Linked DNA regions of Xenopus tropicalis. The protein of the gene in region 1 interacts with the protein of each later gene in a pairwise test. Links are inferred from orthologs where the notes say so. Each region holds a gene or a part of one and is shown in the gene's direction. Other genes may lie near its edges.

Region 1 (3,656 bases):
TGCACTCGGTTTAGGTTTAGAGTAGGTTAAAATTTGGGCAACCATTGCAGAATAGGGTTTGGATAAGACTTGGCAAGTACACCCCTCCTCAGCTCTTAAAGATTCCCTTTCTTGGAATGAGAGGGCGCACAGATGCAGGCGCGCATTTGATAAGTCTGTGCCCCGAGGCTGCCGCCTTTTTGGCCAAACTTGTAATACACTTCATTTTGTTTATGTATTTATAAAGGCTACACCAGTTCACTGACAATCATTCTTTTTGTGTGAAATGTAATTCTGTATACACCCCAGTGAAGTGCAGAATAACATTTTGGACATTGGTTGTGTGTCAGGAGCTGGGGCTGTAATAATGTGACCATCCACTTACTGCAGGCTTAATGCAGCAAAGTGGCCCCTCCCAAGTAAATCAGTGCAGTGGCAAGCAAAGGAACTTGATCACTTAAATACTTGACAAGTGATGGCTGCTAACGATCTATTGCAAAGTATTTCCACTGAATATCCTCTGGTAGTATAGAAAATGCTCATCATGTATCCAGCATCAGGTTAATAGAATAACCTTTGTCAGCAGCCACAGCACTAACAGTAACAGTGCACATACAGTAAGTTTGTCTTCAATGGATGTACCAACTTTATTTGTACTTAAAGGAGAAGGAAAGTTTAAATCACCGGGGGTGTCAAAATGTTAGGCACCGCCCAGTGATTATGATTGCTTACCTGATACCCTGGGCCAGTGCAGTTTTTAGTGAACAGGAGCACTGGCCCAGGCTATCTCTGCAGAAGATTCTCATCGTCATCTTCTTCATAGTCTTCCTTCTTCTTTTCGTTCTGGTTCAGGAAATTAGAGGAAGAAAGATAGCGCCGAAAACTTCTACAGGAATACCCCAGGCCTGTGCAGTTTTATGCTAACAGGAGCACTGGCCCGGGGTATCAGGTAAGTGATTCAATAACTCCCCCAGTAAGCAAACCTAACATTTGGCACCCTCCAGTGATTTAGACTTTTCTTCTCCTTTAAGATATATCTAGAGTAAATTTGCAAACATCTGTAGAAGGAGAGTTGTCATATCAGAATAATATTTGCTTCTGCAGGATATGTAGCATAGTTTGGAGTGTTCTGTGTTGAACCACACCAAAATGAATTTTTGATGTGCATTTGCTGCTCTGTTTTGCAGTATAAGCGAATCCCTTTTACGTATCATTGTGGTTGACCTGAGAATGTTCCTTATTACGCTCAGGTGCTGGATTCCCAGTCTGTACATTTGCAGCAGTTTTTGCCTCTTCTGCTTCAACTTGGCTTGCCTTTGCCAGGGGTAAATCATGCTCTAAGAGCATTCTTTCTCTGAAGGAGAGCTTGTTTTTTTTTTTTTTTTTTACTAATCTACTTTTCCTCTAAAGGCAACTTCCGCGATTTTGGGAAATCGTGACGCCGCATATGCCATCCCATCGGCGATTTACATTCAAGCCGGTGGGATGGCATATCGGGGAGATTAGTCGCCTGCGACAAGGGAGATTTGTCGCGGGCGAATAATCTCCCCGTCTGCCCCAGTCCTTAACTTACCAAACTACCAGGTAAATACCAACTCTCGTAAAGATGCTACACATTGTTTGTAGATTCACCATTATATTGTCCACATTGAAGTAATTTATATCATGCAGCAACCACATTTACTTTTGGCACAAAAAAGTTGTGTATTGAAAAAATATTGTCTACATGCTCCTGAACAGTGAATAAGTAAAGTGTACTTTCCAGCAGAAGGTAGCTTTCCTTGGTTAGCAGTTAAGTATAGAAGATTCAAAAATATAAATCTGGAAGGCACACCAGGGCATGGAAGAAAGAAGGTACATCCTTGTTGCCAATGACCTCTACTGGCCAGATATATAAACAGCACAGAAAGTAGAGTAGAAAAAATAATTTTTTTAAAATTAGAACTTGTGTACCAGGAAATACAAGCAGAAAACTGATTATGTGTAAACATAATTGCAAATGTTGCACAGTTATATTTTATTTCACTTACTTTGAAACACAGAAACAAAGATAACAGATATTGTGGCATGCACAAAAGTGTGGCTCCTAAACTTAAAACATGTGAGATATTTATAATTATAAGCACAAAGAAAAAAGAACTTGAAGTCCTCATTTCTAACGTTGAGCAACAACTTTCCATTTGTGTTTTCTTTGATTTATGAAGTGCAAGGTACTGCTCACTGAATTTTATCTGCCTTGGTCAGATGGTGAGAACAGCGCCGGAAATCCAATCCTGGCGCCTCGAGGCCATCCCCCATTCATGCAGATTTAAAAATTATACAAACCTTAAAGCACCTATGCACTTGTATTTAACCCTTTAGTAGCAGGCTCGGATTTGTGGCAAGGTCACAAAGGCCCGGGCCTAGGGCAGCAGAAATTTAGGGGTGGCATGCCGCCTAGCCGCACCAGGTCGCGCAGAAACTTTAGAGCATCCTCTCCCCTCGGCGCATGCGTGCGGCTTGGGTGCCGAGGTGGGCGGCCTCGGGTGCCCTATTGAGAAATCCGGCCCTGTTTAGTAGCCTAATTTGCAAGTTAGGATTCGGAATCAGTTTTTGGAATCTGCACGGTGCTTACTTAAAATTTAAAAGGGTATTAACAAAACCTGTTTCTTTTTGTGTTTTGTTACAGAAGAAAGAAAATATCCTGAAAGAAAAAGAAAATGACAGACTTCAAGAGAGAACTCAAGAAATTTACATGAACTGGAAAGAAGCACAAGAAGTGAAACAAAAATTAGAAAAAGAAGATAAAGAATGGCAGGAATCGTGTAAGTCGTTGTACAAAAACAGTTGAATGCAAATGTTTGGGCACCCTTTGCCAAACTTACATATTTAGTTTTGTAAGTGAAAAAGTAGGAAACAATTACTGCAAGTATCAGTCATGTTAAAATGTTACAGATGTTAATGCAAAGTTACATGGTGTTTCATAAACTTTATATCATAGAAACAAACACAGGTGGAAGCAAATAGTTATTGTGGTATGTGCAGAACTTTGGAAAAGCTTTGTCAGTATTCACAGCTAATAAACACGTTCCCACAGATCTTCAATAATGTTAAAGTCAGGGGACTGTGAGGGCCATTCCAAAACCTTCAGCTTGCTTTTATTCAAGTAGCTCATGGTGGATTTTGAGGTTAAGTTTTTCAGAATTTGCTAATATGGTGGAATTCATGTTTCCTTCTACATGTACAAGGTGTCTGCTGCCACAAAACTTGAAAGCTTAATAGATCCACCTTCATGTTTAACACCTGGCAAGGTGTTTTTTTTTAATCAATGGTTGTGATAGTGATGTGTGGGTTGACCTGCAACCCGCAGGTTTACCCTTAGGTAAGACGGGTCACAGTTGAAATTTGGGAAACCATTGCAGGTTCAGGTTGGGTGCGGGTCAGTTTGGGGATTTACACTTCTGCTTTGCTTCTGAAGTTCCATGTCTTTGGGAACTGTGGTGCCTGCAGAAGTGGGGTACAGAGTGCAAAGACATGGGTACAGGTTGGGTGCAGGTCCTACATTGACAACATTTTGTGGGTTAGGGTCGGGTGTCAGTTAAGGTTTTGCAGGTTAGGGTCAGTGTGGGTTGAGTTTTTTCCTGACAGTTACTTCACTAGATTGTGAGACTTTTTTTTTTATTAGAAAAACATGATTT
Region 2 (3,304 bases), on another chromosome or scaffold:
GACCTTGAAATGCCGAGTAGAAATCACCGCCATCTACATAATTCATGTCTGCACAATAATTCATTTGCTATTAAGGGCCTTGGTAGGGTGCCAGGCTGCTCAGCGGCAGTGCCAGGGCCGGCTTGGCTCAGTGTAGGTGCCTCGTACACACACAGCGCTCTAGCGCTCTCTTGCACTCTCAAGGTGAACGTTGGCCCAGCACTAGTAAAGGGGAACTTGATTTACCCCAGCAGCCAGGGAGGGGGTTGTTTAAGAAGGTGTATAGTAGCGGGGCAATAAAAAATAAGGTGGTACGTTCCACTTGGGCAAAGCAGATTGTAGGTACAGTGCTCCCTCCACCAAAGTGGGGCAACTGGCACATTGGCAGGCAGCACTAGTGTAGGTAGGGGCAGGTAGAGACCAGAGCTTTGTTATAGAGGGGCAACTGGCACATTGGCAGGCAGCACTAGTGTAGATGGGGGCACGTAGGGGCCAGAGCTTTGTTATAGAGGAGTAACGGGGGCATTTGCGCCTGGTCCTGCACAGATTGCAGATGAGCCCCAATATCTCTATAAGCAGAACAGTGACATTTATTGTCTCCTCTCTGTGTTTGTGCAGGCAAGAAGCTGTCGGACCTGGAGCGGGTCACCTCGCTGAAAGTCTACAACTGGTTCGCTAATAGGAGGAAGGAGATCAAGAGACGAGCCAACATTGGTAATGTGCCAGGGCAAGCAGCAGCCCCCAGCATGGCACCCTGGCACCCCTATATTATGGGCCACATTCCTGCAGTTTGTTCAGCCATTTCTGCCATCTGTCATTATGTCGGCAGCGTGTAGCATAGGCCGTAGTAACACACGAGTGCCAGGCTCCTAAATGGACCCCCCTCGTGCCAAGGCTGCTCCAAACCTTTTGCCTATTGTTATTTCTTGCTCTAAACAGGGGAATTGGCACTATCCCGTGTTAGTAATTTGTTTGGCCTTCAACCCCCCTTAATAATTATTACAGAAAGTTTGCATTACTTCCCCTTTATCTGCAGGAATGCCTTTGTCTCCCCCCCATCATTCTCGTACCCCTAGGAATACTGACGTTGCCATTGCAGATAATTTAGGGCCATGTTTGCTTTTTTCGAAGAAGCAGCAATCCTGGAGAGTCATGGGATCGATGTACAGAGCCCCGGGGGTCATTCCAACAGCGACGACGTGGATGGAAATGATTATTCGGAACAGGTGAGCACCTGGGCTTCTCCTCTCTGCTCCCCCTATAGCTGAATAAAGGGAATGGGGGATATGGAACAGCGCTCCATCAAGGTCAGTACTGGGTATTTGCTTCTCGGGCTCCTCATACATTCCTGCTTATTATTGCACAGGTTTGTAAATAGCTCTCAGCTGATGGGTTGGTTGGGATCTCCAGAGGGTTCTGCTGCATCTATGAGTTGATATTACAGTGCCCTGTAGTTCAGCCGGGCTTTGTAATGATACTGTTCCCAATGGGGAGATCTCCAAACAAATAAGGTGTTGCCTAAGGGTGAAGACACACAGAGCTACTAGTAGCAGCTACAGAAATAGTGCTGATCAATTACTGATAATTGTCTGTGTGTTTTAGCAGAGGCAATTCTCAGTATTGTCTATGGCAGGATATTTTCTTGCATAGTAGCCGTGAAAAAGTAGCTGCTACTAAGTAGCCCTGTGTGTCTTCACCTTAATGGCTCCCAGGGGGCAATCATTTGGGTAATAAATAGGGCCTATTCAAACCTGCCCAGTAGATATCTTGCTATTCCCTGGCCAGTAATGGGTAGGGCAGGCTATCAGTGTTTGGCTCCATACACAGGGACAAGGGGGTAACATGGCGGCTGTGCTGCGCAACTTTTAGCCGAAAAACCGCTACTATCTACCTTGTTGTTTTAAACTTGATGTCTGGTTTTTATGAGAAGAACACATCGTTTGGTTGAAAAATTATAATTAAGAACCTGGAATGGCGTAATTTCATTGGTCCCAGTGCTGAGAGATAATTAGGGCCCTCCCAACAACGCCAGTCTCGCTCCCCCCCCCCCCCCCCCCCCGGCACATTTTCCTTGATTTTAATAGCGGTTATTTTGGGACTGAGGAAACTAAATAAGCATCTTTATTTGTATGATTTAATGAAAAGCTACAGAGCGCAGGCACTTAATTACACTGGTGGGAAATAACCACTCATACAGCTGTGCCCAAAAGGAACCTGTATTGTGCCACTCCGACCAGCAACTGCCAACTGGGAGCCCCGCCACTCAGCAACCTCCTGCTGGAGTATCACTCATGTATTATAAGGGATAATGTACCCCCTACTGTAAATGATAAGGATATTAGCAGTCACTGAGGGGTTCTGTGCCCATATAAAGGCACAAGGCTGCAGGCTGAGTTATACAGGGAACTCTGAGTATCACTCATGTATTATAAGGGATAATGTACCCCCTACTGTAAATGATAAGGATATTAGCAGTCACTGAGGGGTTCTGTGCCCCCCATATAAAGGCACAAGGCTGCAGGCTGAGTTATACAGGGAACTCTGAGTATCACTCGTGTATTATAAGGGATAATGTACCCCCTACTGTAAATGATAAGGATATTAGCAGTCACTGAGGGGTTCTGTGCCCATATAAAGGCACAAGGCTGCAGGCTGAGTTATACAGGGAACTCTGAGTATCACTCATGTATTATAAGGGATAATGTACCCCCTACTGTAAATGATAAGGATATTAGCAGTCACTGAGGGGTTCTGTGCCCCCCATATAAAGGCACAAGGCTGCAGGCTGAGTTATACAGGGAACTCTGAGTATCACTCATGTATTATAAGGGATAATGTACCCCCTACTGTAAATGATAAGGATATTAGCAGTCACTGAGGGGTTCTGTGCCCATATAAAGGCACAAGGCTGCAGGCTGAGTTATACAGGGAACTCTGAGTATCACTCATGTATTATAAGGGATAATGTACCCCCTACTGTAAATGATAAGGATATTAGCAGTCACTGAGGGGTTCTGTGCCCATATAAAGGCACAAGGCTGCAGGCTGAGTTATACAGGGAACTCTGAGTATCACTCATGTATTATAAGGGATAATGTACCCCCTACTGTAAATGATAAGGATATTAGCAGTCAGTGAGAGAGAGAGATTGATATTATTTATCTCTTGTGTTCGGGACTTTGACTTGTATTTAACGGCTCTCATTTCCCCCCTTACATGCTTAGGATGACAGTACGAGCCATAGCGACCATCAAGACCCAATCTCATTAGCAGTGGAAATGGCAGCCGTCAACCACACCATCTTGGCGCTGGCCCGGCAAGGAAC
Region 3 (3,656 bases), on another chromosome or scaffold:
ATATAGTCAATTTAACAGCAGTTTGTGTATCTGATTATTCCCCAGCTGGAGTTCACGCGTGGTTTAGTCATGCTGGTGCTGGAGAAGCTTGCAGTGGACATCCCGTTACTGCTATATGATGACATTCTGTTTTGTCACCTTGTGGATGAAGTACTTTTGTTTCAGAGAGAACTTTACACATCACATGGTTATCCCAGCAATCTCCCAAACTGCATGCACATTCTATCTGAAGAAACCTGTTTTCAAAGATGGCTGACAGTGGAGAGAAAATGTAAGAATGCTTTGCATTAGTTGTGACTATTTCTAATTGATTTTTTTGCGCCTGAACCTGTCATTTTGCGTTCTTAAAGGAGAATGAAAGGCTAATAAAGAGTTAATCTCAAGCTGCAGGCATACCTTCAGTTGTCTCAATAGTGCCCTTATGTCTCCCCATATTTCTCCTGTTCAGATGATCAGAAGCCTCATAGGAAAAAAAAAATGCTGAGCTCTGTAAAGAAAGTACCCATAATGCCTTGGTCCTGAACTAATACCAAGATCGGTGTACATACGCAGTTTGTAAGACTATGAGGAAGCTGATTGGCTCAGATCCACATTCCTAAGGAGGGGGCGAGTGAGTTCTTAGTATTCTTGAGGGAGGGGGGAGCAGGAGAGAGGAGAGCTGCGTGTCTCTGGCACAGGAAAACAAAGACAACAAAACCTGTTTCTTTTGAGAAAGGACTGCAGTGTTTCTGTGAGTGCTTATGGCTGTATTTACATAGACCTTTCTGATAAAACTTACTTAGTTTTTACCTTTCCTTCTCCTTTAACGCTAAGACTTTTAATTAACTGTTAATAGTGACCATCTTATAAGCACAATTAAATTCTGATTAATATATCCATTAGTTAAATGTGAACTTTTATTCTTTCTGTGTACCCCTCCTCCCTATCCCATATTGAAAAATGTATGATACAAAAAAAACCCCCTGCAAATGTTAATGCGCATATATTTTATTTCATTAATGTTAAATGTTGGCACAAGGGTGTCCAAACTTTTGTATGTGCCTTACATACTATTCTCTTTGTTCCTATGCTTTATTAACACCCCCTTTGGCTCAGATAACAGCTGGTTAATGGCTTTTGCATCTATCTTTAAATATTTCACATTTAGTTGTATGGATTTTTACCACTTTCCATTCAGATAATTTGTCATTTTTAACTGTTTAAGATCTAACCACAGATTTTTAATGATGTTTGAGTCAGGGTACTGTGAGAGCAATCCCAAATCCTTCAGCTTGCTTTTCTCATTATTGTGGCTTGTCAGGTATGTTTAGGATCATTGTCTTGGTGTAGGATCCAGCCCCATTTTAGCTTCAGCCAAAGAGTTGAATTTGGACTTCATCAGTCCCTGCACTTTTTGCCAAAAGCACTCTGGTTTGTCTAGATGCTGTTTTACATGCCTCAGACATTGATGTCTGTGATTAGGTTGCTTGTAAGGCTTCCTCCTGTTGACTGTGTAACATGACTGCTGTGTCAGCCAATTCTTCCTGCTAGTCTTTTGTACCCATATGAGGGTTTGTTTTTCTGAAAGTTTTCACATATTGCATTGACTTCCAATGCTTTGCAAGCTGGAGCATTTTTATATATCCCTCTCCTGCTTTGTAGGCATCAATTGGCTTTATTTTCAGATCGTCGCGTAGTTGCTAAAGGAGCCTGTAATTGCCGAGTGACAGCCCAAAGTTTGGGGTCTCAGAGATTTTATTAAGTCCACAGGTAACAACTCCTATGGTTATTAAGGCCTAATGAACCAATTAGGGTGAAAGATGTTGCAAAAACAGCATTTATCACTGAACAATTAAAAAGATGTCCAAACTGTTGCACATGCCACAATTACCGTATCTACTCGAGTATAAGCCGATCCGAATATAAGCCGAGGTACCTAATTTTACCTAAGAAAACTGTAAAAACGTATTGACTCGAGTATAAGCCTAGGGTGGGAAATGCAGCAGCTACTGTGGCTATGAGTTCCTGGATTGTTATACATGGAATTGCCCTGGCATTCGGCACGCACGTGCAAATTAACTCTGCCATTATCTGCATATCAGCAAATAATAATATTAATGACATTGGCTACTGATTCCCTGTGATGGAGCTGTTTGCCTCAAGGCAAGGTAATTTGATTGTGTACAATTTGTACCAGTTATGATGGCTAAGGCTAGGAGGTGTTTTCTCCACTGGTGTGTGATCTGCTGCCCTCTGCCCTGAGTTTTAGTATGCCCTGAATTTCACCCCCTGTGTGCATTGACAGTCAGCTACCATGCTTGTTAGTGTGTACTTGGATATACAAAAAAAAGTTCCCAGACAAGAAAATATGGCTCTACTTAGACCAATGCAGCCTCAGACAAACAGAGCCATGGCTTGATATTGCAGAACAAAAAATTAGTTAAGTTATATTTCTTTCAACTAGATTTGTGATCACAAACGCATAAAATAAAGACCATGATGCTCACCTTACAAATACAATGTAAGTACGCTTATGGCAGGTTTCCATTTCATTATATACAGTCAGCTTGATACATGCTCATTCTTAAATGCACTGTAATAGATCAATCTGGCGTTCAGTGGGTGAGCTGTGCAGCTGTGCCAGCAAATCACTAATGAATACGGGAAAGAGGCACCTCTTGTGAAACTATTCGGCGTGCGAGCCGAATGCCAGCACAGCCTATATACTCGAGTATAAGCCAAGCATGAGTTTTTAAGCACATTTTTCGGCTTATACTCGAGTATATACGGTATTTTCTTTTGGTGAAATTAAATGTAACTCCTGCAGTTGTTTCCTACTTTTGACTTGTAAAATGAATTAAATGTTATTTAGCAAGGGCGACAAAACGTTTGCATTGAGTATCATCTTTTCAAAAGTTTAAAATGTGTTTGTTGCATCAATGTTTTTCTAGTGGCTCTAGAAAAGATGGATTCCATGCTGTCTGCTGAGGCTGCCTGGACCTCACAATATAAAGATATATCTGATGTGGATGAAATGAAGGTTCCAGATTCTGCTGAAACATTTATGACTCTCCTACTTGTTATCACAGGTAACTCAAAGGCTGTCCCAAACAGTGCTACCTCAGTCTACTTCTTTTCATGCTAGGAGAGCCCACTATAACAGATATTAATTTATCACCCAGTGACCAAATGCTACTTTGTTCATTTAACTATAAGGCTTATAGCACATGAGCCAAAAAAACTCAAATAAGCTCTCTTGCAACCTGTTCATGTGAATGGAATCTAATTCTAATAACATAGATGTGGCATATGAAATAAATGAGATCCTTGAGCATTGCTACTATGTATTCAGACTTTTAACATGCAACTACCCATAGTTCCTCTGGTGGCCCCACTTATTATAATGTTGATGGTTGTATGAGCTTGTGTTTTTTTTAGACAGGTACAGAAATTTGCCCACAGCATCCAGAAAGCTAAAATTCCTGGAGCTGCAAAAGGACTTAGTTGATGACTTCAGGATACGTTTAACACAAGTGATGAAGGAAGAGAGCAGAGATCCCCTGGGCTTCAGATATTGTGCAATACTCAATGCTGTCAACTACATTGCAACAGTTCTTGGAGATTGGGCTGACAATGTTGTAAGTAAGACCCATACTATTAATTGCCGCCACTGGGGC

What was found.
Region 2: the proteins of sh2d4a (region 1) and hmbox1 interact in binary tests that used the Homo sapiens proteins (3 or more experiments, as listed by UniProt). The two-hybrid records come from large-scale screens. The link is inferred for Xenopus tropicalis from reciprocal best matches to the Homo sapiens genes SH2D4A and HMBOX1.
Region 3: the proteins of sh2d4a (region 1) and rint1 interact in binary tests that used the Homo sapiens proteins (3 or more experiments, as listed by UniProt). The two-hybrid records come from large-scale screens. The link is inferred for Xenopus tropicalis from reciprocal best matches to the Homo sapiens genes SH2D4A and RINT1.

The regions. Positions count from the first base shown.
Region 1 is NC_030677.2:96,289,589-96,293,244, reverse strand, and holds part of sh2d4a (SH2 domain-containing protein 4A), read left to right. Parts: intron 1-2,647; coding exon 2,648-2,783; intron 2,784-3,656. UniProt on the Homo sapiens protein: Inhibits estrogen-induced cell proliferation by competing with PLCG for binding to ESR1, blocking the effect of estrogen on PLCG and repressing estrogen-induced proliferation. May play a role in T-cell development and function.
Region 2 is NC_030681.2:151,828,308-151,831,611, reverse strand, and holds part of hmbox1 (homeobox-containing protein 1), read left to right. Parts: intron 1-597; coding exon 598-693; intron 694-1,110; coding exon 1,111-1,205; intron 1,206-3,197; coding exon of another isoform or gene 3,198-3,203; coding exon 3,204-3,304. UniProt on the Homo sapiens protein: Binds directly to 5'-TTAGGG-3' repeats in telomeric DNA. Associates with the telomerase complex at sites of active telomere processing and positively regulates telomere elongation.
Region 3 is NC_030679.2:77,082,521-77,086,176, reverse strand, and holds part of rint1 (RAD50-interacting protein 1), read left to right. Parts: intron 1-45; coding exon 46-271; intron 272-2,930; coding exon 2,931-3,068; intron 3,069-3,417; coding exon 3,418-3,617; intron 3,618-3,656. UniProt on the Homo sapiens protein: Involved in regulation of membrane traffic between the Golgi and the endoplasmic reticulum (ER); the function is proposed to depend on its association in the NRZ complex which is believed to play a role in SNARE assembly at the ER.